Linked DNA regions of Alligator mississippiensis. The protein of the gene in region 1 binds, or shares a complex with, the protein of each later gene. Links are inferred from orthologs where the notes say so. Each region holds a gene or a part of one and is shown in the gene's direction. Other genes may lie near its edges. The genes, in order: CNNM2 and PTP4A1.

Region 1 (11,858 bases):
CAAAGAATCAATGCGGTGTCAGCAGTCAATAGACTTGCACACATTTAGAGGTGATTTTTTGAATGCTAGAAACAAAAAGAGCCTAGATCTAGTGTGCGCCCTGTGTCGGAGCATGATGGGAAAATCATAAATAGGTAGAAAAGGTGGAAGTGGAGATTTCTGTTCTGCAAAGCAACAGAAAGCAAGCAAGGACAAAGCGAAGGGACAGATTCCGCCTCCCCGGCCCTCCCAAGCGGATCTGGGGCTCTTTTAACACAGAGACTAAAAATGCAAGCCACGGCAGTCAACAGGGTTTGCAGGAAAGCAGGTCTGTCAGATGAACCCGTTGTCCAGGTCCCGCCAGGATTACCCGTCCAGCCGAGAAAGGCGACTGGTTATTGTATCCTTGGGTTTCTCTGGTTAAAGGCCACGGTGCACTGAAGTGGTGTAAAACAGCCTGATGCAAGGCAAAGCATTGGGGAGGGTGTGCCAAGGGTCTGCCCGCCCCACATCCCCAGCACTCGGCGAGGGATATTCCTGAGCAGGTCCGGCCCCACCTGCTCCTGGCTCATACGCGATCCTCAAAGGGACAAGAAATGGGACTATCGGAAGTGCCCTCACCTCTGTGCCCAGCTTTATGGGGTTTGCTGCTGGGGCATTGCCCCCGCTTCTTCACGCGGGAATACTGACGGTGTCTGGCGTGTTAAGGGATTCATCTGGCTTGGCTAGAGAGGGCTGAGAGGGGGCAGGATCGCTGCGCACAGGGGCTTACAAAAGATAGCGAGAGCGGAGGGCTGGGGCTTGCCAGCCTTCCTAACCAGGCTGGGCTGGATGTGACCTCCTGGGGTCCCTTCCTCCCTCGTTGTCTGTGCTTCTAGGATCTCAGGGTCCTGCAGTCCAACCCTCTCGGACAGACGCCCACCCAGCCTCTGCTGCAAACCTCCAGCAAAGGCGAGTCCACAGCTCCCTCCGGCGACTCGGTGCCTGTCCTACTGCACTGACGACTGGGAAGGGTTTTCCTGAGATCGGGTTTTCAAGCCGCTTTGCTGCGGCTTCAGCCCGCTGCCCTGCATGCTACCCTCTGTCGCTCCATCCTTTCGAAGGATGCTGATGGTACCCCTAATTAGAAGGGGCTTATAGCGGGCTAATTCGGAGGGAAGGGACTCAAGAGTCAAAGCTTCCCTCCAGTTTCCAAGGTTCATTGAATACATCCAGCAAACGCACTAAGTGATCCCAGTCCTGTCCTGGGATCCTGCGGTTACAGCGGCTTGTCCGAGCGCAGCGGGGGAACCGAGTCGGTGAAGAGAGTGAGGACGAGGAAGAGGGGAGAAATCCCCTGCCAAAATGAATGTATCCCTGATTACCAGGGCAGCGAGGGAGGTCGGAAGCTGGGCCTGTCTCTTGGTGAAGGATGCGGATGGGGTATTATCGTTCCCTACCAAACACGGTCCCAAATCGAGGGAACGCACGGGGCACACCAACAGTTCGCCACAGGCCAAATGGAGCAAGGCTTTCGCTGCAGGCTGTCCCGTAGCGCCTGCCTGCGTGCACCGTCTTACCTGCCGTACGTGGAAGCCAAACCATGGCTGCTTAGCCCAGATGATGTGCAGAAACTCCTTGCCTCCTGCGTACCTGGGGATACGCTGTTTGTGTAGCCATCCCCTTAAACACAAGCTATGGGGCATGGTGCTGATGTGAACCAGAGCCCTTGACTGTATGTGAGAGGCAGCAGTTAGTCCCTGGGCGCCTCCGGGACCTGGGCTCGGGGCCTTGCTCTCTGTGCATAGCCAAGCAAGACACACCCCAGCCACAGCTGCAGCAAGGTCCCAGCGGGGCACGGGGAGGGTGGGACGACTCCGTGCTGTTCCTGCTTGTACCGAGTTCTCGCTGTTGCAATAAAGCTTTTTCCCATGCTTTTGATCAAGCCCAGGGACCTATTTTGTTTGGGGCCAGCACAGTTCCCACGTGCACGTGGATCAAGTAGTGGAGGACGTCGCACCGAAGCGCTTACAACGTGCTTTGCCCTGCCAGAGCTCCTCAGCTCAGCTGGGTTGAACTGAGCTAGAGCTGGAAGGAAACTTGAGGTGCGGTGCCTTGGGAGGAGAGGATTTCACGCTGTCTCCGTCCGATGGGGTGAGCGGAAGGGGTAGCGCGTTGCTGGCTTGCTGCCCCTGTCCGTGCGTGTGGGGCAGGCAGGTTTGGACGCCCAGGGGATAACGGGAGACTTTCCCGACTTGCTTCGGTGTCTGGAGACAGAGTAGAGAGCGTGGGCCTCTGAGTGCAGCATGTGCCAGCCCCAGGCATCTGGGCCGGAGAGGCGATGGAGCTGGAGTCAGGCTGCAGAGCCAGGGGCAAGCTGGCGGATGATTGCCTGTTGGCGTGCAGGTCCCCCCGTTCACGATGTTGGGAGGCTGAAGGGCCTGGGGCTGTCAGAGGGGGAATGGAGGTAGGTCGCACTGGGTGCCAGCGTGAGCTGGTCTCAGCTGCTGTCTAGCTAGGGCACATGCATCAGAAGATGCATCCGATAACAAGATCAAGGCTCGGGGCCTAAGATTCCCCTTCTCCTCCCCTGCAAACAGACGCCCCAGTCGTATCCCCCTCCTGCTGTTATTCGCAAGGACTTGCTCAAATGCCGGCACCCTATCCTGGCACATCTACTGCAATTAGTTCTTCTTATCAAAGGAGATCTTCAGGGTGCGAATGAAAGAGCGGATTTAAGCTTTTCCCCACCTGTGAGCCACTTCATTAAAAAGCCATGAAACCCTGCCCGAGCCTTTCAGATGCCCCAGCAGCTCCAGCCGGGGGTGGTCCCCCATCCCAGCATGCATACGTGAAAAGGCCACTGCTAAATGCCAGCGAATTTGCATGACTTTGTTTCCACGGGCTCTTTGCATTTTCGGGAGAACGGAGAGGAAGTGCTAACAGGACTTTATCCGTCTTGCATTGTCACCTCCGGCATTGCGCTAGCGGCTCCTCCGCTGGGAATGGAGGTGACGGCTCTCCGGTTGGAGCTCTTTGGGGCCACGAGCCTGCTGCACATCTCAGAAACTGTCACGAGATCGTTACCCAGAAAGCAAACCTGGCCGCTCAGCTTCTCTCTTAGGAGGTGCCGTAGCTGTGCTCCTCAAAGCGCCCCGGCACCATTCACCCCCTTCCCAGGGCGCCGGGTGCTTGGGGCGCTGCTCGTCTAATTCAGAGATACGGGAGTAGCCAGCAGGCTGGAGCGATTCGGGGTGCTGCAGACTTGCTGTGGCATCGCGGTTAAGTTATTTAAGCTTTCTGTGCCTCTTTTTTTTTTAAATGGAGATAACGACACTTACCTCCTCCGCAGGGGGAATTGCAAAATGTACTGCTCTCAGGAAACAGGAGCATCTTCAGTGGGTTTAGCACATGCTTTTAAAGGCTCTCCTGAATCAGGGCCTAAAAGTATTTTCATAGCATCATTGAAAATGAGGGTGGGAGGGAGCTCAGGAGATCACACCTAGTCCAACCCCTGCTCCAAGCAGGACCGGCCCCAACTGCATCATCCCAGCCAAGGCTTTGTCTACCTGGGTCTTAAACACCTCCAAGGATGGAGACTGCACCACTGCTCTGGGGAGCCTGTTTCAGTGCTTCACCGCCCTCCTCATGGGAAAGTTTTTCCTAATATCAAAACTTAACTTCCCTTGCTGCAACCAGAGACCGTTGCTCCTTGTTCTGGCACCTGCACTGAGACCAGCCCAGCTCCGTCCTCTTTGCAGCCCCCCTGCAGGGAGGTGAAGGCTGCTAGTCAATCCCCCTCGGTCTTCTCTTCTGCAGACTCAATCAGCCCAGTTCCCTCAGCCTCTCCTCACCAGTCCTGTCCCTCAGCCCACAACCATTTTCACTGTCCTCCACTGGACTCTTTCCAACGTGTCCACATCCTTTCTGTCGTGGGGGCCACAGCTGGATACAGGACTCCAGATGTGGCCTCCCCGGTGCTGAATAGAGGGAAGCATCACTGCCCTCCATCTGCGGGCAATGCTTCTACCATTTCCAGACAATGAGGGTGGAAGGGAGCTCAGGAGGTCACATCTAGTCCAACCCCTGCTCCAAGCAGGACCGGCCCCAACTGCATCATCCCAGCCAGGGCTTTGTCTAGCTGGGTCTTCAAAACCTCCAAGGATGGAGAGTGCACCACCTCTCTGGGTAGCTTGTCCCAGTGCTTCACCACCCTCCTCGTGAGATTTTCCTAATATCCAACCTCATCTTCCCTTGCTGCAGCTTGAGCCCATTGCTCCTTGTCCTGCCATCTGCCTCCCGCCCCGAGAGCAGCCCAGCTCCATCCTCTTTGTAATCACCCTTCCGGTCATTAAAGGCTGCTCTCAAATCCCCCCCAGTCTCTTCTGCAGACTAGCTATGACTGCATGCAGAGTGACCCCAGCAGAGAGCACGAGGAGGCTCCGAGTGTTCCCTAGTGGGAGATACAAAGAGCTCGTCCCATTGATGGTAATTCTTGGCATATAACTCCCGGCCTAATTTGACGAGGGAGGGACCCTGGGCAGCTGAAGCCTGGGCCCTGCGCTAACTAGCCTCCATCAGAGGAGCGGCTCTCATCAATATTAAACGCTCGGCCCGCAGGAGCGCAATAGGCAAAGAAATGTCATGTTGGGTGCGGGGGGCCGCGCGCGCAGCAGGGAGGGGAGGGGGCCGCAGCAGTCGGGAGCCCGGAGGTTAATTTTTAATCGCCTCATTGTCATGACACGCACACGCGGGCCCTGCTAGGTTTGTAATAGAGCTGCAAAGTCAATCATGACGGCCAGGGAGGGCTGCTTCTCGGAAGAAACTCATCCCTGAGAGATGGCTGGCTCCCAAACGCAACCTTTCCTGTTTCTGCCGCTGGACATTGGTGCTCCGTACTCCAGCAGAGTCTTTCCCTGCGGCTCTGTACGCCCCTCGCAAAGTAAGCCTTCCGACCCCCTTGTCGCTGCATCGTTTGCTCACGGAGCTGGCGCTGCTTAGCAAGAGGAGAGGAGCGCTGGTACCATGAGAGCCTCGCTCCTCTGGAGCCAGGCGCAACGGCAAGGCCGGGCAATGCAATAGGTGGCTCCAGGACTGCAAAGCAAACTGCTCCCGTGCGGCTCATTGCCACGGCCTCCCTTAAGCCTCCATCCCCCTCTATACGGCTTTGGACGTCCCGTCATCTGTGTTTTCCCTGCTGTTCAAACCACAGAGGGGTCTTGAACAGCAAAACCCCTTCAGTGGAGCAAAGGATGAGAAGTTATCTGACAGTTTGAATGAGTTGTAGGGCAGCTGTCCTGACGGGAGAGCAGTGATGAGCAATGACATGGGGGATAGAGAAGACCGAGGGGGATCGAATAGCAGCCTTCACCTCCCTGCAGGGGGGCTGCAAAGAGGATGGAGCTGGGCTGGTCTCAGTGGGGGCAGATACAGGACAAGGAGCAATGGGCTCAGGCTGCAGCAAGGGAAGTTGAGGTTGGATATTAGGAAAAACTTTCTTACTAGGAGGGTGGTGAAGCACTGGAACAGGTTACCCAGAGAGGTGGTGGCGTCTCCAACCTTGGAGGTGTTGAAGACCTGGGTAGACTTGTCTGGGATGCTGTAGTCGGAGCTGGTCCTGCTCTGAGCAGGGGTTGGACGAGATGTGACCTCCTGAACTCCCTTCCAGCCTCGTTTTCTCTGAGTCTAAGACACCGAGGGGGAGGCTGGGACAGGAGATGAGCCCACCGCATTGGGGTTTGGACTGGAGCTGATCTGCCCCCAAAGTGAACGGCTTCGGTGCAAGCTCCCGCGCCTGGCCCTCTGCCAGGGCACGTCGGCAACGCAGGCGGCATCTGAAGTCTCATCTGCTGCCAGAACAAATGTTAAACCTCAGCCCCTGGAAACAACGCACGGCTGGATGTTACCCAGGCAGTCACGTGTAGCCAGTGTCCTCGGAAAATAACGTTTCCTATGATCTACTCGATTCAAGCCGACGCTGCATCCAGGGACCGAGCGCCAGCGCAAATTCAGGATTTCCTGCTTAACTTCCCTCTCGCCAGCAGCGCTTGGAGGAAATAACTCGCACTTCACCAGAAACATACTTACGTGCGGACGTAAATATATATATATATATATATATATATATACGTACACCTCAACATATGCGAACTATTCCAATAGGCACATAGCTTTAAATACCCAAGTGCACATTTGAATATGTTAAAGTCCATAGTTGAGCATGCAAATGCATGCTTAAAGTGTATCTTTAAATATATTTAAGTGTAAATATTTAAGCATGTATTTCAATACATTTAAACATATATTTCAATACATGCATACATCTATACACACACATGTGTGTATATACATGCGTATATATACATATATACACATATATGTGTATATATATATCCATATATATCCATATATTAGACCAACTTCAATAGTTGGAAAACAATTTTTAAGCAACCTTTATATATATATATATATATATATATATATATATATACACACACACACACACACATATATATACACACATACACACACACATATATATACACACACACACACACGTACGTGTGTGTGTGTGTGTGTGTGTGTGTGTGTATATATATATAAAGGTTGCTTAAAAATTGTTCTCCAGCTGCTGACGCCGGTGTGCTGAAAGCTGTGGGACTCGCCCGCACAGCCGTGTTTCTCTGTAGATAAAAAACTATTTTTGCAAAAAAACATGAAAAGAAAAAAGTCGCCTTTCGGCTGGGAGGGGTGGGGGCGGGGCTTCCCGCGGGCCCGCCCCCCGAGCGCGCCCCGAGCGCGGCCGCCAGGTGGAGCCGCGGCTCCTTCCCGGAGCGCAGCACCGCCCCCTTCCCCCCCCCCCCCGCCCCCGGCCTTGTCCCCCGTCAGCCATTGGCCGGCCCCGCCCTCCCGCCGCCAGCGCGGCGCGGCCATTGGCTGCGCCGCCTGCGGCCCCACACGCGGAGTCACGCGCGGCGGGGGCGGGGCCGGCTTGCGGCCATTGGCGGCTTGCGGCGGCGGCTCCGCCCCCCGGCGTCGGGGTGGGCTGGGCGGCGCGCGGGGCCCGGCAGTCGGCGCCCGTCAGCGGCCGCAGGCGGGCGGGCGGGCGGGCAGGAGCTGCAGCGCCGCGCCGCGCGGGGGGAGGGGGCCCGAGCGAGGATGCCGCAGCGGCCGCCGCAGCCGCAGCAGCCGCCCCGCGACGCCCGGCCGCGGCGGGGCTGAGCCCGGAGTCAAGATGGCGCCGGGCCGCAGGGCGGGGGGCGGCCGGGGGGCGCTGCTGCCGCTGCCGCTGCCGCTCCCGCTGCTGCCGCTGCTGCTGCTGGGCGGGCACTGCCTGGGCGAGCAGCTCGCGCCCGGCGCCCTGGCCTCCCCCGCCGCCAGCGCCGCCGGCCCTGAGGAGACGGTGATCATCGGGCTGCGGCTGGAGGACACGGACGACGTGTCGTTCATGGAGGGCGGCGCGCTGCGCGTGAGCGAGCGCACGCGGGTGAAGCTGCGGGTCTACGGGCAGAACATCAACAACGAGACGTGGTCGCGCATCGCCTTCACCGAGCACGAGCGGCGGCACCGCGGCGCGGCGGCGCCGGGGGCCGGCCCGGGGCCGGGTGGCGGCAGCGGGAGCGACGGCGGTGGCGGTGCCGCCGGCGGCCCCCCGGCCCCGCAGCGCTGCGGCATCCGCACGTCGGACATCATCATCCTGCCGCGCATCCTGCAGACCCGCCGCACGTCGGGCATCATCGAGATCGAGATCAAGCCCCTGCGCAAGACGGAGAAGAGCAAGTCGTACTACCTGTGCACCTCGGTGGCGGCGCCGCCCGGCGCGCTGGGCGCCGCCGAGGGGCCGGGCTGGACGGAGACGACGTGGATCTACCACGACGGCGAGGACACTAAGATGATCGTGGGCGAGGAGAAGAAGTTCCTGCTGCCCTTCTGGCTGCAGGTGATCTTCATCTCGCTGCTGCTGTGCCTCTCGGGCATGTTCAGCGGGCTCAACCTGGGGCTCATGGCGCTGGACCCCATGGAGCTGCGCATCGTGCAGAACTGCGGCACGGACAAGGAGAAGAACTACGCCAAGCGCATCGAGCCCGTGCGGCGCCAGGGCAACTACCTGCTGTGCTCGCTGCTGCTGGGCAATGTGCTGGTCAACACCACCCTCACCATCCTGCTGGACGACATCGCCGGCTCGGGGCTGGTGGCCGTGGTGGTGTCCACCATCGGCATCGTCATCTTCGGCGAGATCGTGCCGCAGGCCATCTGCTCGCGGCACGGCTTAGCCGTGGGCGCCAACACCATTTTCCTCACCAAGTTCTTCATGATGATGACCTTCCCGGCCTCCTACCCGGTCAGCAAGCTGCTGGACTGCGTGCTGGGCCAGGAGATCGGCACGGTCTACAACCGGGAGAAGCTGCTGGAGATGCTGCGGGTCACCGACCCCTACAACGACCTGGTGAAGGAGGAGCTCAACATCATCCAAGGGGCGCTGGAGCTGCGCACCAAGACGGTGGAGGACGTGATGACGCCCCTGCGGGACTGCTTCATGATCGCCGCCGAGGCCGTGCTGGACTTCAACACCATGTCGGAGATCATGGAGAGCGGCTACACCCGCATCCCCGTCTTCGAGGGTGACCGCTCCAACATCGTGGACCTGCTCTTTGTCAAGGACCTGGCCTTCGTGGACCCTGACGACTGCACCCCGCTCAAAACCATCACCCGCTTCTACAACCACCCGCTGCACTTTGTCTTCAACGACACTAAGCTCGATGCCATGCTGGAGGAGTTCAAGAAAGGTGGGGACCGCCGCCGTGCATCGGAGGGGCGGGGGGCATGAGGGGCGGCCCGGTTACAATGTGTGGCCGAGCTGGCCTAAGAAAAGAGGGCTGCTACCTTTTTTGGGGAGCTCTTTCACTCTGCCGTCTCCACTGGAAGTAGAAGTGGAGCAATTTGGAGATAAGCACCTGTCTGTCGCCTGATGTGTGCACCTGGTGATGGCATGTGTCTGTTTCCTGTCAAGCCGGGGGTGCATGTGTGTGAATGCAGTCTTTTTTGGCTGAATGTTTTTTTGTGTATCTGTATTCATCCGCCGGCAGGTACTGCCATGGGTCTGCACCCTCCGTGGTGGCATCTCCAGCCCTGTAGGCTGGTCGTATGTCGGAAGAGGGGCGGGTGGGTGATATAGGTCACGAGCGTCTTGCAGGCCGTTTGCTCGCGCACATGCACGTGCTGAGATCAACAAGGCTTTTGAATTCCCGTCACCAGTGCAGCCGGGCTCGCTCTGCCTGGTGCATGCTTGTGTGCAGTTCGCGGCTGTCCTCATTGATGCTTCAGATCTGTAGCTCGTGAATAGCTTTGGGGCTTTTTTTTTCTCCCTCCTCCTTAACCATGGGCCTTACAGTTCACTTCTAACTGATTTGCTAATTACACGTGCCGGCGTTACAGACCTTCCCCTCTCCTCTCGTTTTTGCCCTGGCAACCACAAGCTGAGCCACATGTCGATATGGTTTTTTCTGTATCTGTGCACTCCCTGCTGTGTGGAGTAGCATGCGCTTTGTTGCCTAACCAAAACTGGACTGTGGTTTTTGTGATGGTTAGCCTGGGGCTTTTCAGTTTTTCCTTGGTTGGGGCGTAAGGGGAAGGGTGGGAGGGTCTCCTGGTAGACGCCTCTTAACTTCTCATTGTGCGTTTTTTATTGTTGCAAGCAATCGTTCAATAACTCTAAAACCTGTTCCTCTCTTTCAGCTGCAGCACGCAGGGAAACCTTTTCAAGGGGTTGTATGCAAGGGGTGGGAAGATGCTCCAACCTTGCCCATTTTGTGGGGTCCCGTGCTGGGAGACTCGGAGTAGTCTGCGGTGGGGGAAGTTTATCATGTCCTCGTTCAAAGTACTGTAGAAAAGTTCAGTCCCCGTGAGAGCCTTCCTGAAGGAGGAGATCTTTACCATTGTATTAACACCACAGCCAGGTAAATGGGGAGTATTTGAGTTAACCTTTTCTCAAGGTAACTCTGACACTCGGGTGAACTTTGTAAACTGCACTCAAGAGTTCTTCTGTGCAATAAAATTTGTAGGCTGTGTTTGATCTGCACGCTAGGCTTTGAAGGGCTCTCTCTGGTTGACCCACTACTAATTTAACGGTGTTTCTGTGGTTCAAGGCACTTGAAGGCTTCAAGTTCTGAACCTCATCTTGATTGATAAAAAGGATTGTGCTGTTTTGGTTGGGAAAGTAAGCATGTTAACCTTGTCTACCTGATACAGCGATTGGAAACCTTACAGCCTACTTCCTACCCCATTTCGGAGCTGTGGAAATGGGAAGAGAGGCTGAAACCCAAGGTTGTCTTCTGATGGTTTTATTGCCAGTGTGGCCACAAGTTTTTGTGAGCTCCAGGAAAGTGGATGACCTACTGTTTAGCTTTGACTAGATAGGTTTTATAATATTGATTTCCCTTTGTCCTTGGCAGTGGCATTATTTCCTAGAAGGCTTCTCAGTCTTCTTTAGCTACCTTCACTCGGGGCATCTGGTCCTCTCGCTGTACGGGTAGGGCTGTTGGTGTGAGCAGTCATAGAGGAGTGAAAATGGTGATGAATGCTCAGCCTCTCTTGCTGAGGAGGTGTAGTCCCACTCCAGGCTGCTGCAAGCCAGGTTGGTTATTGGGAATTGGAATTGCACTGGCACGTTTGAGCCCGACGTTGCTCGCTGTGATTCGGGAAGCTTGTGAATCTGCTCTGTAACCTGGAGAGCAGACCAGAGGTTGTTTTGCTGTTGTATGATACGAGGAGTTGTCTGTCCAGGGAAGCTGGCCAGCATAGCTATTCCAGAACGATTGCCCTGTGCAAGCGCTCCAATCTGGAGTAGCATCCACGTGGGGGAAGGTAAACTGGCTGAACGGCACCGGATGGCTTCCCGGAGAGCTGTCTTGGCAGATGGCTCTGCGTAGACAAGCCGATAGGTTAGCAGAGATCTCTTGCTTGAAATGGCCATTGGAGAAGAGCTGCCCTGAAGCACCAGCTCTGTCCTGCACCGGTGTCCTTTAAGAAGTGCAGATAGGTTGGAGATAAACTGCTTCCTTTGCGTCCTTTGAAACTAGCATAAATCACTGATAACTGGCCCGGCCTGGCATAGCACAGCGGGTTTTGCAAGAGTCCCTTAGACTCCTTGAGGAATCCTCTCCCAGGGTGACCTTGTGAAATTCCCACGAGACGGTTTCCCCAGGCCGGTACGATTTAACTGTATCCTGGTGGCTAGCATAACGATGACCAGGAATAAGCCTAGGTCTCCATTCCCCCAGGGTGAGGAACACAATTCCTCACCGTGTCGCAGTGCTTCCACACACCGAGTGTTAAAACCATTAAAGAATGGCGTGTCTTCTATGGAAAATGTTAGCCCAGCAGGCCGGGTTTTAAAGCTCACTTCTGATATGGGAAGTGCTTGTGCCTAAGCTGAACGTGGAATGGAAATGTCGACGAAAAGGTTAAACTGATCAGCCCCAGTAGGCGATGCGAGCCTGGGTTGTGTCGGAAGAAGAGCGGATGACTTCGTGCTCCGTCTGCCCTCTGGTCCGTGCAGTGGGGCAGGAGGTGATGGCGGGTTTTTCATCAATCTGTGGGAGTTGGACTGTCATTAAAAACGGCAACAAAGAAAGCTGCCTAATGGCACAGAAATCAAACCAAGGGGACTGCAGTGCCCCTAGACTGTCCTTTAATCGCCTACAGTACAAACAGAGCTTCCTTACCAAGCGGTATGTGGAAGGCAAGCTCCTCCCTTCAAGGACTGTTTTTAAAAGCTTGTGAAAGTGGAGCAGTTTTTAGCCCTGTCAACAAGACCTTGAATAACCACCGGCGCTGTCGGATCCCCTTGCATGCAGCCTGCACACGCTAGGTTTTAGGTCAGAGGGATCCAATTTATAGCT
Region 2 (12,269 bases), on another chromosome or scaffold:
CTCTTTACTCACTGTCATACGCTCCTTACAATCCTAACTTGCCATCAGTTAATGATCTCTGTTAAGACAATCCGTGAATTCAGTGCTTTTATAGCTGATGCACCTTCCGTGCCCCCCCCCTCCCCTCCCCCCTGCCAAAATGCATTTTGCAGACATAAGGTGGTCGTAAGACCTAATCTAAGACATCAATTTGAGGTGGTTTTGAAATTTTAACTGGAACCGGTCTTTCAACTAGCCTATTTTCTCCTGGAGCAAAATAAACTTTAAGGAAAATAGGAAGTCCATATGTCAGCCCTTGAAATGCCCATGTTATAGAATAGAAACTTTTGGATTCCAGAACCATCACAGATGGAGCAGTCTCCTTGGTGGGATAGTGGATGCTATTCTATTCCTGAGTTCAGATATGTTTTCCTTCAGATGGTTGGTGCACCTTATTCCTTCAAAACTGTATTCTCTGCCAAAGTGTGAGCTCTACCCTCAAACATTCCCTTGCCTGAAATGTGGAACTCATTTATGGCTAGTTGTATCCTAACACTGCTCTTCACAGAACTAAAACAATTCTTAGTGCTGTAGTTGCTGGTTGGCTATTTAGGAAGGCCCCCCGAGGGGGACTTGTTTCTGGTTATTTGCTGCCAAAGCCCCAAGTGGCCTGTCCAACCTGAGACAGAAATCAAGTGACGACTACCATGAGTCCTTTTTCAGCCAGTGTGCTGACTGCATGGTTGTTATAACCATTACAGTTAGAGCTCCTTGTTCCTCTCTGCACCCCTCCCCAATTCCATATAAGACCTGGCTTTTGGTTGCCTACAGTAGGACCTGCCTTGAAATCTAGGTAATTGTGGTAAATAAGATCCTTAGCTAGATGGAAACTAGTACTGTACAGTTCTGCCTCCACTATTCTTTCTGCACAGGATTTTTCCAGTATTTTCCAAATGAAGCTTAGAACCTGACCTTTCTTTCCTTTTCTAAAATTCTTTTCTTCTGCCCCAGGTACAGAAGTTTCTCATTCTTCCCTTCACCAATGATCCAGGCCTAGTTCCTAGTCTCCATGGGGTAATAGTTGCCTCTTGTTGTATTCTAACTCTTTTATTTGTGTTACCAATATCCTTAGTCTCAATCTTATTTTTGGAGAGGCAAGTGGATCAAGATTTTTTTTAATCTCCTGGTTCTTCTCCCTTTAGTCTCTCTGATCATTTGAAGCAATTGTCATAAAATACAGCTTTGAGTTCCTTTCCTCTGTTTCCATCCTAAAACTCCTCTGGTTTAGCTTCTACTATTTTTACATCACACACCTGTTCCCAAATTCATTAGCAGTGTGCTTAGCTACTAAATCTTGGAACCAGAACTTCATCCTCATCTTCCTTGTCTTGCAGGGTGCCTGAGACACAGTTGAGCCTACTCATGACTTCTCATTCTCCCCCACATGCTTAATGGTGCTCAGCATGTCCTTAGGAAAATCTTCAACACCCTCTTCTAGCTATATGGGACTCCCACAAAGCTCTGCTGTCAGCCCATTTTCCATCACATGTAAACACAGTTATCTCCCTGCATGTGAGTCTAGGTCTGGAGTACGCGGGTAGATCCATTTTGCCTTGGACATCTCACAGATGCAGTTTGACTTGAGGGATATATAGCTAAATCATATGAATTCAATTGTATGAATCTATGTAAAGACAAAACTCCTAGTTTACTCCCTTTTCCATGGGAAATGGAAAACCTGGATCCCTGAGCCTAGCGAAAAAGAGGTTGCAGTAAAATTCCATCTCTCTGCATCCAGTTCAAGAATATTGCTCAGGCTTTTGTAATTTGTTGTTTCTCTTGTACTTCAAATAAATCCAGTCCTTTATTTGCATTGCGTCCCTAGATCATCCTTTTCAGTAATAGCAAACTAACTGCTTACTCTCAAAGTCTTTTGTGGCATATTCTCACTTAACTTGTTGGTTATCTGTTAGTATTGAATGGGAAGAGGTAGTTTGCAGAAGGCAGGATAGATGTACACCTTACAGACCAGGGGTGTCCAACCTTTTGAATGTGGGGCCAGATCATGAACTTTTTATCACCCAGTGGGCTGGCGAACCATATTCAAAGACCTCCCAGGAAGCGGTATCACATCTTCCCCCCCCCCCCCCCAAACGAAACTACAGTGTTTACTTTCATTTCCCATCGCAGCACCTCGGGCCTCAGAAAACACCTTGGAGGGCCGCATGTTGGACAAGCCTGTTATAGACTGACTAAATCAGATATTACAAGCTTTCTTAAGTAGCTGCTTACTTCATGAAATGAAGGGACTGCAAGAAGTAGAGCTTCTGAATAGACAGCTGTGATTAGTATACAGAAGGTAGGCAAAAGAAGGGATCACTGTTGGGAGAGGTGGATGGGAGAGAGGAAAAACAAATTAGTTAACCCAGGGACATAGGGGCTAAAGAAATTCAAGTAATGGGATAAGAATCCTGTAGTTTTGATTTAGATTAGGGAAGTCCCTAGTGGCAGCCCATGGGCTGCATATAGATCAGGGGCGGGCAGTTATTTCAGGCGGAGGGCTGCTTACTGGGTTTTAGTAAGATGTTGAAGGCTGCATTTCCCTCTCCAGTCCAGGGAAGCAGGAACAGCCCCACAGTCCCAGGCACCTGCCTCTGCTAGGCAGGGGCTTCTGGTTGGGGGGCTGGGGCTGGGCAGGCCATGCTGCTGGGTCCTGCTGCCAGCTTTCCCGGGGTACTACTGCCCCTGGCTCCTGTCATCTTTGACAGGCAGCCAGGAGCAAATAAATATTAATTTTCTAAAAATTTTAGGGGCCCCGTGGGCCAGATCGAATGGCCTGGTGGGCCAGATCCAGCCCCCAAGCTGTATTTTGCACACTCCTGATATAGATAGACCTCAGAGGATCAGCTTTGGGGACTTAAACTTCTCTGCATGGTTGTCGTTGCTCCCACCCTGCTGCTGTTCCTGCTGCAGCATCTGAGTTCTTTTGGTGATCCCACCTTCATCTTGCTGTTTTCTTACACTGGCTCCTGTAGCAGGAGGGGGCAAGGGTGCTGTTGTTGCATGCATGGTGGGGCCAGCTGCTTCTGCTGCATGTGAGATGGGTCCTTACAGTGGGTGCTCCCCCCCAGCTGCCCAGAAGTTGGACTGCTCTGGTTAGATTATACTTAATACAATCCAGTCTGTGGGTGTCTTGTTGTTGTTCAGTGACTTTTTTTTTTTTCCATTCAAGCTTTTTAAAGTTTTGCTTGAGAATAACTACTCTGAGGTCATAGCTAGAATGTCCAAGGAGGTTAAAATGTTGATGGGGGTCACTTCATTTTTGATCAGACAGAGCTACCAATCTGCAATATACATTTGTTATCTTTCTGAGCAAACTCCTCTAACCTTTATACTTTCTCCTGAGGCTTCTCTGCTAATGGAAATAAAATAGTAGTTTTAGCAAATAAGGGTTTAGTATCTGACTGGCAAATGGATAGTGATACTGACAAAACACTAACTGGTGTTGCACTTGTTCAGTATCCTATTCACAAGAGTGAACCTTCTAATCATGTCAGTTTATGCTTTAGGAAGGTTGGTGAGTCGCTTCAGAAGCAGAGACTGGCGTTCCTGGGAGAAAACACGCATTTTGTGGAAAAGTGGTGTAGATGGAGTGAAACTTCTCCCTGTTATCTCTTCGCATATGCTATAGTCTCAAATCTAAAGAGGGGTGCTAAAAACGGACTTTTTTTTGTTTTACAGTGGTAACACTTAATTTTATTCAGCAGTTGTAATTTATTAAACGTAGCACTTTTCTAGAACTTTTTAGAATCTTAATTCAGTCTTGATTTACTAGAAGAGCATCAGAAAACAATCACTTAGGCTATATTTCTTGAGATTAGTGCAAATTATATTTATTTCATCTCCAATATCTGCAGCATTCCTCTTACTGTTTAAAAGGACCAGCCACATAGTCACAGTGGCCATTGTTGCATCAGGGAAACTGGGTGAAGGCCAAGAAATAAAGCTATGTTCAAGTTGGGTGGAACCTCACATTTTTATATTAACTGTAAATATGTAATTTGAAACTCTTGAGAACCATCCAAGGCAACACTAAAATCCCTGTTTTTACCTCATGCCCAACTGTGTGGAGGTGGATAGACTCCCTGGACTTTGATGCAGACCTCTTCCTATGTCTCCTTGCCAGAGGATGTTTTTAGTCCTTTGCATAGTAGGTGACTAGCATTGCATGCATGTTTACCCACTTCCCTGATCATAGTTCCCTATAAGTAGAACAGGGACTTCAGAATGTTACAGTGTTCATTTTGAGCATAAAATGGCTCCTTGTAGCATGAGGTATCACAATAAATCAAGTTTATAATGATTTCTTTAATGATTATTCTTATCGCTCAAGTATCTGTATCTGCATGTAAATGCTTAGAATTTCCTCAAAGCAACTTGTGATAGACTTACCAGCAATGCCTATACAGTGCAGTACCTTCATTTTTGCAACATAAAGCAGATCTAGTAAGCAGGAATAATGTTTTTATTTTATATGGGTCAGGTGGCTTAAGTAAAAAAAAAACCAAACCCCCCCCCCCCCCAAAAACCTGAATAATTACAAAATGGGGAATCAACAAAACAATTTAAATGGGAACTAGAATATTAACGTAAGCCAGAGTATCTCCTAAGCAGTAGACCTGTTGCATATTTTCACTACTAAACAATCAATATGCTTTAAAATAAGAAGGCTTTTTATTAAAAATAACTTGGCAGTAAAGAATGTGTGGGTGGCTAGACTAATAATATTTGTTAGAGCCAGGCATGTGGTGTGCAAGATTCCCCACAATGCTGACAGTGTACATCTATTATAGTGTGTGAAATTCTTGTTTCAGTTTTAGGTCTCTCCTGAGCAGATGAATTTAGTTAACTCTGTTCACGTCTTTGAAGTAGAAATAATTGATTCTACTTTTTAAATTAAGAGGTTAGAGTAAATTAGATTAAAGAGGCATTTTTTCCTTTTAGCAATTTATTCCATTTCTTGAAGACATTGCTACCAGTTAATGTTTTTAGTATACTTGAATTCCAAATACCCATTCAGAACAGGATGGACTTAGAGCGGTTAGGAAAACACCCTCTGAGCATGAAATGATCCTTGTATGGAAAACAAGTGTCATAGTATCTGTGCTTAGAGGGCAAGGCAGAGGTGTGTGAATTCTACTTAGAGAATGAAAGTTGTGTTTAAAACATGCTGCAGATATTGGAGATGAAATAAATATAATTTGCACTAATTTCAAGAAATATAGCCTAAGTGATTGTTTTCTGATGCTCTTCTAGTAAATTGAGACTGAATTAAGATTCTAAAAAGTTCTAGAAAAGTGCTACATTTAAAAAAATTACAATTGCTGAATAAAAGTTCTGTTAGAAATATTTTGGTCTTGCAACTCTTAAAATATTGTACAGGTACTCCTCACTTAACGACCGAGTTCCGTTCCTGCGACTCGGTCGTTAAGCGAATTGGTTGATAAGCGAGGAGCCGGGCTGCGAGCGCGGGAGCTGTCCGCCCAGCGGTGCTGAACCTGCGGTGCGCCGTTTCCACAATACAGGTACTCCTCACTTAACAACCTCCTGCTTGGAGTACTGACTGCTCGGAGAGCTGGTCGTAAGTCTACGCGGTCGTTAAATAGGTAGGTCGTTAAGTGAGGAGTACCTGTATTGCTAAAACAAAAATAGCATTTCTGAGTAAAAGTAAGCACTGATACCTGGAAATAAAATACTAAAGTCTGAATAGGCAGAAAACAAAATTCTAATATGATACCTTAAATTGGTGGTCTCCCACCTTTTTAAGGTGAAGATCACTTTGAAGTAAAGGACAATCTAGGATTTACCATGCCCTCACCCCCCCACTGCCCAGTAGGTCAGTCTGGGGGGTGGAAGCAGATCGAGGCCCCCATGGCTAGGGGTGAGTGGGACCCTGGCCAGACCAGGAGAGGGTCAGAGCCTGGGTGGCTCAGCTGGGGCGGGCGGGGGGAGGCTGCCACTGTTGGGGTGCGTGCAGTGGCGGGAGCTTCCCTGCATGCCTGGACAAGCCACCTGGGCTCCAACCCACCCCTGGCCCAGCCAGGGTCCCACTCACCCAGTGGTAGGAGATGCAGTGGGGGGTATTTTCCCAGTTGCCCGGCCCTGGTGGCAGGGGGCACAGCTCAGCCCAGCCACGTGCATCCTACCGCTCCTGCGTCCCAGCCATTCCCGATTGCAGAGCCTCTGACAGTTGATCTCAGTCTGAGGGGGCTTTGACTGTCAGGGGCTGACTGGTTGGTGACCACTGCCTGAAATTATATTAGATTTGTAAACATACATAAGGGGTGTATAAGTACATAAAGGGTGTGCATCAGGACCTGGGAGAATGTCTGTTCACCTGAGCGCCCCAAGGAAAAACAAGGACCAACAGTCTCAAACTCCTCCAAGACTGTTTTAGACTGGACATAAGAAAAAAAATTCTTTACTATCTGAGCCCCCAAGACCTGGAATAGACTCCCTCCAGAAGTGGTGCAAGCACCTACTCTGGACTCATTCAAGAAATGCTTGGATGCTTACCTTGCTGGGATCCTTTGGCCCTAGCTGACTTCCTGCCCCTGCGGCAGGGGGCTGGACTTGATGATCTTTGAGGTCCCTTCCAGCCCTAAAGTCTATGAAATCTACGCTGTATGCATTTTCGTTTTACTTTTTAGTAAGCGTTAATATTTTGAGCTAAGTTGTACATATACTTGGGAACAGTAGCTGAAGTAACTTTTTTTTTTTCTCTCCCTTCTTTACAGCAGTTCTGTGGTGTTCTTGGTCACACATTTATGGAGTTTCTGAAGGGCAGTGGAGACTACTGCCAGGCACAGCACGACCTCTATGCAGACAAGTGAACTGTAGAAATTCATTACTACTCCACCAAGAAGCCCCCCTAAGAGTGATTAACCAGGATAAGAAGTGTTGAATTGAAATTGGCAGCGCATTTTACAAAGGAGTTCAGACCTGGATGGGGTAAACCTCAGTGCACTGCCTTTCTTTTGCCTCAGTATTACTGGATTGAAGAATTGCTGCTTCTTGTTAGGACGTTCATTTCATTTCCCATTGCTCCCAACTTCATACTTCCAAGCACTGAGAATTTCAAGTGGAGTATAGTGAAGTAGACTTCAGTTTCTCTACATCATTTCTGTATTAGAATTTTTTAATCCTTTCATAATCTTGTTGCATGTTTTTTAACTAAATTAATATGGCCCGAATGAACCGCCCAGCTCCTGTGGAAATCACCTACAAGAACATGAGATTCCTTATCACACACAATCCAACCAATGCAACCTTAAACAAATTTATCGAGGTAAGGTCTGGACGAAATGCTTTTTTTTTTTTTTTAATTTTATTTAATACAATGCTTTTAAAACCTAGAACAGTATGTGTTTTAATAATATATTTACTAATGGGATTCAGTTCTTAAGTGCTCTTCCTGTTGACTCAGGATTTGGGTCATAGTGATTCTCGCAAGCAGTGAGACATGTTTTACAGAATTACTGTACTCATGAAAATCATTCCTCTATCAAATTGCATCAGTATATTTATTTTTTAATGAACCATAAGCATGATCATAACGGTACTATTACTGATCAACAGGTACAGGGCAGAAAGAGAATATGTAATCTAATTAAAACAACAGAACATTGACAGGATCACAGTTAACTTGCATTTATTAGGTTTTGTTAATTAATGATCGCTCAATTCTTTAGTTCTGTCATGTCTTCAGCAGCTGATTTTTACTACCGTTAATCCATAAAGATGGGGAGAGGAAAGGGCAATATATTAAGACTATCTGGTACTAATTAGATGTGACTGCAAGTATTTATTAGGTATGCAGAAGTTGTCTAAATAAAGCTAGTTTGGCCATCAGCTGTAGCAGTGGAGCTACAGTAGTTTTAGAATTCATGTGACATACACAGACGTATCTGGGACTCCAACTACGTTCATGCTGGCTGAAATCTGGCTTGGCACAAGTTCACATTTGGTACTGGAGCCATTTTAAGCCAAAATTAACTTTGAGGCGTCTAAATCTGTTGCAGTAGCATTTTTGAATAGCCTTGTAAACATGGCCTGAGATCTACTTTTGACATTTGGGTTTCCCATAGAAGCTTTCCTTTGTGCTCTTGTAGAGGAAACAAGAAAACATCCCAAAGAATCACTACACAGCAGTGGTTCCCAACCTTTTTAGACCATGGAGGGCAAGTGACTGTGGACTAGCAAACTGAAGTGACCGGCATACTGCGGAACAGCAGCCAACCCTTTTTTATTCTCAGTATAAATAAACAAAAGGTTGGCTGCCCATCTGCAGTATGCCGGTCACTTCTGGACTTCCAGTCCAGCAGCCAAACCTTTGTGGCCCGGTACCAGGCTATGGCCAGGGGTTAGAAACTTTTACTACACACCATACAGTGTGTGTCACTCGTGCCTTGCTTCAAAAGACTAATAATAATTACTATGGATTGAGTCAGACTTGTGTAGTAGGTTTTAGATATGCAAATAAGGCAATCTTACTGCAGTGTGGTAGAGTGATTGTTTAAACTAGCCAGCTTGAGTGCTGGTAGCAGTCTAGTCATGGTAGCACATAGTGTGCTGAAGCAGAGTAAATCTAGCTTGCGATGTATTTTGTGCTGCCTCAGCTGAACTGGTGTTACTCAGGCTTGGTATAGGCCAAGAGTCAGCATCGTCTTGCTGTCACAAGCCACTGCTTGCAACCCAGCTCCTGCCACAGGCTGCAAATCTCTACAACTCTGTCTGGTAATTAGTGGATGCTTAGGACAGAATGAGGCAGCCAGTAGGACTGTGGGGACACCTCTGCTTCCCTAGCTGCAGAATGCTGCCAATTCCCTGAGTTGCCACAAGCAGTAGGTTGCTAACCCCTGATGTAGACAGTCTTGTTTTGATCCTTTGCACAGGATGCTTTTGGCTGAAGAATATAAATCCCAGATCCCAAGAGTTCCTATTCATGTATTCTAATAGAGAGAGAAAGAGAGTGCCATCCTGCCTAGCTTGTGCCATAATAAGTAGATAAAGCTCTTATGCTCTTGCCTCACAAAATCATAAGAACAAGTTCTGAATAAAAATAAAGACACCCTTTACCAATTAAAGGGTTGGATGAGTCTCTGGATTGGGCTCACAGACCTGCCTCCCACATGCCAGGTCCAATGCATGTGGCACTCGCTCTTGGCTGGTCCAGTACTATGCTGTGCATAGGGACAGAATAGGCCATGGAACAGATCCTGAGTCCCGGGCTTTATGCACTGGAATGAGCTGGGGAATGTCACATGATGTGAGTTAACTCAAAAGATGCAGGGACAGCATGGTCCAAATGTGACCTGTATGCCTTATCTTTGACACCCCTCAATTAAAGCTAAGACATCCCTTCGTCTTCCGTTCCAGACACTGACTATTATGGGGGGCTAGTTAGGATTTTTCTTGAGTTTCATTTTTGTAGTGAGTGGTGCTCAAGATCCCTGTCCTGATAAGAGCCTAAATGTTAAGCTTGCCTTATTTGCAGAACACAAATATAAGACGTGACCAGCAGTAAACTGGGCAATTATACCATGTTATATAATTGCACAGGCTAGTAATGTATGCAGCTTGTCTGTTCCAAAATGCTTTAGGGTATTTTTAAAAGTAAAAATACTTACAGAATCATAATGGCAGTGATGCATTACATCTCTATTTCCATTACACTTCCAGGGGAAAAAATGTGATTTAGCATAGCTCCTAACGTGCCACACGGAATAAATAAACACAACAATGTTAAGATCCTTGTAGTAATTTGGAAGTATTCAGTGAAAAATCCTGCTAACTTGATGATCAAGTAAACTATTTTGGCAGGAGGCTCTTTGAAAGGTACAAAAAAGTAGATGACCATTTTCTTTTGCTAAAATACAGTTTGTTGTGCTCTTTTTAGAGTCATGCTTAAAGGTCCCTATCAACATTATGCCAAATGCTGATAGTTTACCTCTTGGGGATTGAGCCCCAAAATCTTTGTGCTTCCCGGGCCTCCGCTGGGGTGCATGCATCAGCAGGAGCCCTCCCCATGTGTTTGGACAAGCTACCCAGGCTTTGATCCTCCCCTGGACCAGCCAGGGCCTCATTCACCCTGTGGCAGGGGACATGGTGCGTATAGGTGGAGGAAAGGGGTGGCTAACAGGGCTTAGCTCCCATTCCTCCAGTGCAGGGTAGCAGTAGGGCTGCAAGGCAGCCCGGCTGCAGGATTCTAGTGGCTGCAGCAAGAGTAGGGAGGGGTGGCATTCGCAGCAGTGAAAGAGGGAATGAGGCAGGGGGAAGGCCCTGCACAACTGGGGCACACGCAGGACAGAGCCACAAGCGGCTTGTCCAGGGGGCTCAGGGAGGGGAGGCATGCAGCCTGGCAAGGCATGGGGGGCGTATGCCCCCAGATCTACACACGGGGCAAAGCGGGCTGGACCCAGGGCAGTGCCAGGCTCTTCCTGGTACAGCTCTTCAGTTGCACAGCTCTTGAGCCGGGCAGTGGCAGCGCTGGGAGCAGGGCTGCAGGCACCTGAAAATTTGCTGTAGCCCCCCACCGCCTGCTCCCAGTGCTGCAACTGCCAGCACCGCTGCCACCCAGCCCAAGCGCCGCACAACCAATGAATCATGCTGGGAAGAGCCTGGCTTGGCCCGGGCCCACGTGCAAATCTGGGGTCATGTGCCCCCTGTGGCCTCCATACAAGCTGTTCGTGGCTCCATCCTGCACCTGCCCTGCCTATGCAGGGCTTGTCCCTGCTCATTCCCTCACTCACCGCTGTGGTGGAGGGCAGATTGAGGGAGAGAGCAGGGCACAAGTAGGAGCGGGGGCTGGGGAAGTGGGGGTCAAGCGGAGGCCAGAGGGACAATGTGCCTTCCAGGCCTCCACTTGCCCTACCACTGGGCCCAGCCAGACCCACTCCACCCAGCCCCTACTTCTGCCTGTTCCCTGCTCCCTCCCTCACTGCTGGGCCCTCAGTCTGCCCCCACCACCCCCAGTCCTTTTCACCCACAGACTTACCTGTTGGGTGGGGTGAGTCCCCAAATAATTTTTTTCCCCTCTGCTTCAATCTGCCCCCTCCATCTCTGCCCACAGACTGACCTTGAGGGGTGGGGTGGTGTAGGATAGATCTTGGGTTGCTTTTTAATTCAAAAAGTGATCTACCCAAAGAAGTTGGAGACCACTGTACTACAGGATAAGCTTATTAGCTGCTAAAATGACAATACATTGATTTTTACTGTTTGTCTAAAATTTGTTCTTTGAAGGCTGACTGAGAGAAGTGCAGATTCCTGTGAATAGGTCATCTTTAGGGGTACTTCTTGGTCTGTAACTTAAATCTGGTCATTGAAAGAATTTGCAGCACTAGCAGTGTACTTGGACTTCAGCAGTGCCAGGAAGAGAGCACTAATTTGAAGAAACTTTTTTAGAGGTGAAATATTGAAGGCTTTTGATGTTATTTCGGTGTATGCTTGAAATCAGCATAGCAGCTGCATTCATAAAAACATTGCTTACTAGTTGGAAGACTGTTGTCTGGGTTGGAGGGAACCTTACTGAAACTTTGAAACCTATTAGTAAGCTAAAGTGTAGGAAGTACTTAGGTGTGTCCTGCTGGGAAAGCCAAATGGTAAAAGTCAGGGGAATGTAGAAAAAAATGTCTTTTTCCTCCTCAGGAACTTAAGAAGTATGGAGTTACCACAGTGGTGAGAGTATGTGAAGCCACTTATGACACAGCTCCAGTGGAAAAAGAAGGCATTCAAGTTTTGGTGAGTGATCTGAAAAATTTGCTTGGAAGTTCTTTATAGCATTATGTAGCATTTAGTAGCTCATAATGTCTTTGGTAAGGTCTCAATTTGTCTGAATTTCTAATGCATTTGTCCTAGATGTTTCTAAATGAATGTTATTTTGGAGAAAAAATGGAACCTAAGCAATTGAAATATCACTTTCCAGTTCTTTAGTTTATTATCTTGAAATCCAGTATTCTTGCATACAATACTTGTATCCTGAGCATCCTTGTAACAAAGATTTTATAGCCATCTGCAGTCTTCAATAAGAAAATTCTTCTAGATTTTCCCACCACTAAAGTTGTTTTACCTGTGCAGGTGCTTACAGTTCTTATCATTAGTTTTACTTGTACTGTGAACAGGTAACCTTTGTGTTGAGCAGCTTTACCTCTGAAAACTTGTTTTCATATTGGAAATTCAAGGCTTATCTAACCTCTTTGCTCTGAAACCCTGCGTTTCCACTTTGATAGGGA

Evidence for each region.
Region 2: the proteins of CNNM2 (region 1) and PTP4A1 are in contact, whole or in part, in a crystal structure (PDB 5MMZ), measured with the Mus musculus proteins. The link is inferred for Alligator mississippiensis from reciprocal best matches to the Homo sapiens genes CNNM2 and PTP4A1. Residues at the interface, in NP_291047.2 of Mus musculus: Phe526, Asp528, Val551, Asn553, Glu556, Gly557, Asp558, Pro559, Phe560, Tyr561; in NP_035330.1 of Mus musculus: Asp72, Gly73, Ala74, Gly107, Leu108, Gly109, Arg110, Arg137, Arg138, Gly139, Ala140, Phe141, Asn142, Lys144, Gln145.

Annotation. Positions count from the first base shown.
Region 1 is NC_081829.1:99,035,917-99,047,774, reverse strand, and holds the start of CNNM2 (metal transporter CNNM2), read left to right. Parts: upstream 1-7,076; 5' UTR 7,077-7,192; coding exon 7,193-8,744; intron 8,745-11,858.
Region 2 is NC_081824.1:54,210,446-54,222,714, forward strand, and holds the start of PTP4A1 (protein tyrosine phosphatase type IVA 1), read left to right. Parts: upstream 1-7,220; 5' UTR 7,221-7,222; coding exon 7,223-7,327; intron 7,328-11,685; coding exon 11,686-11,778; intron 11,779-12,269. Other genes in the region: uncharacterized LOC128125822 homolog, read left to right, coding at 6,777-6,872. UniProt on the Homo sapiens protein: Protein tyrosine phosphatase which stimulates progression from G1 into S phase during mitosis. May play a role in the development and maintenance of differentiating epithelial tissues.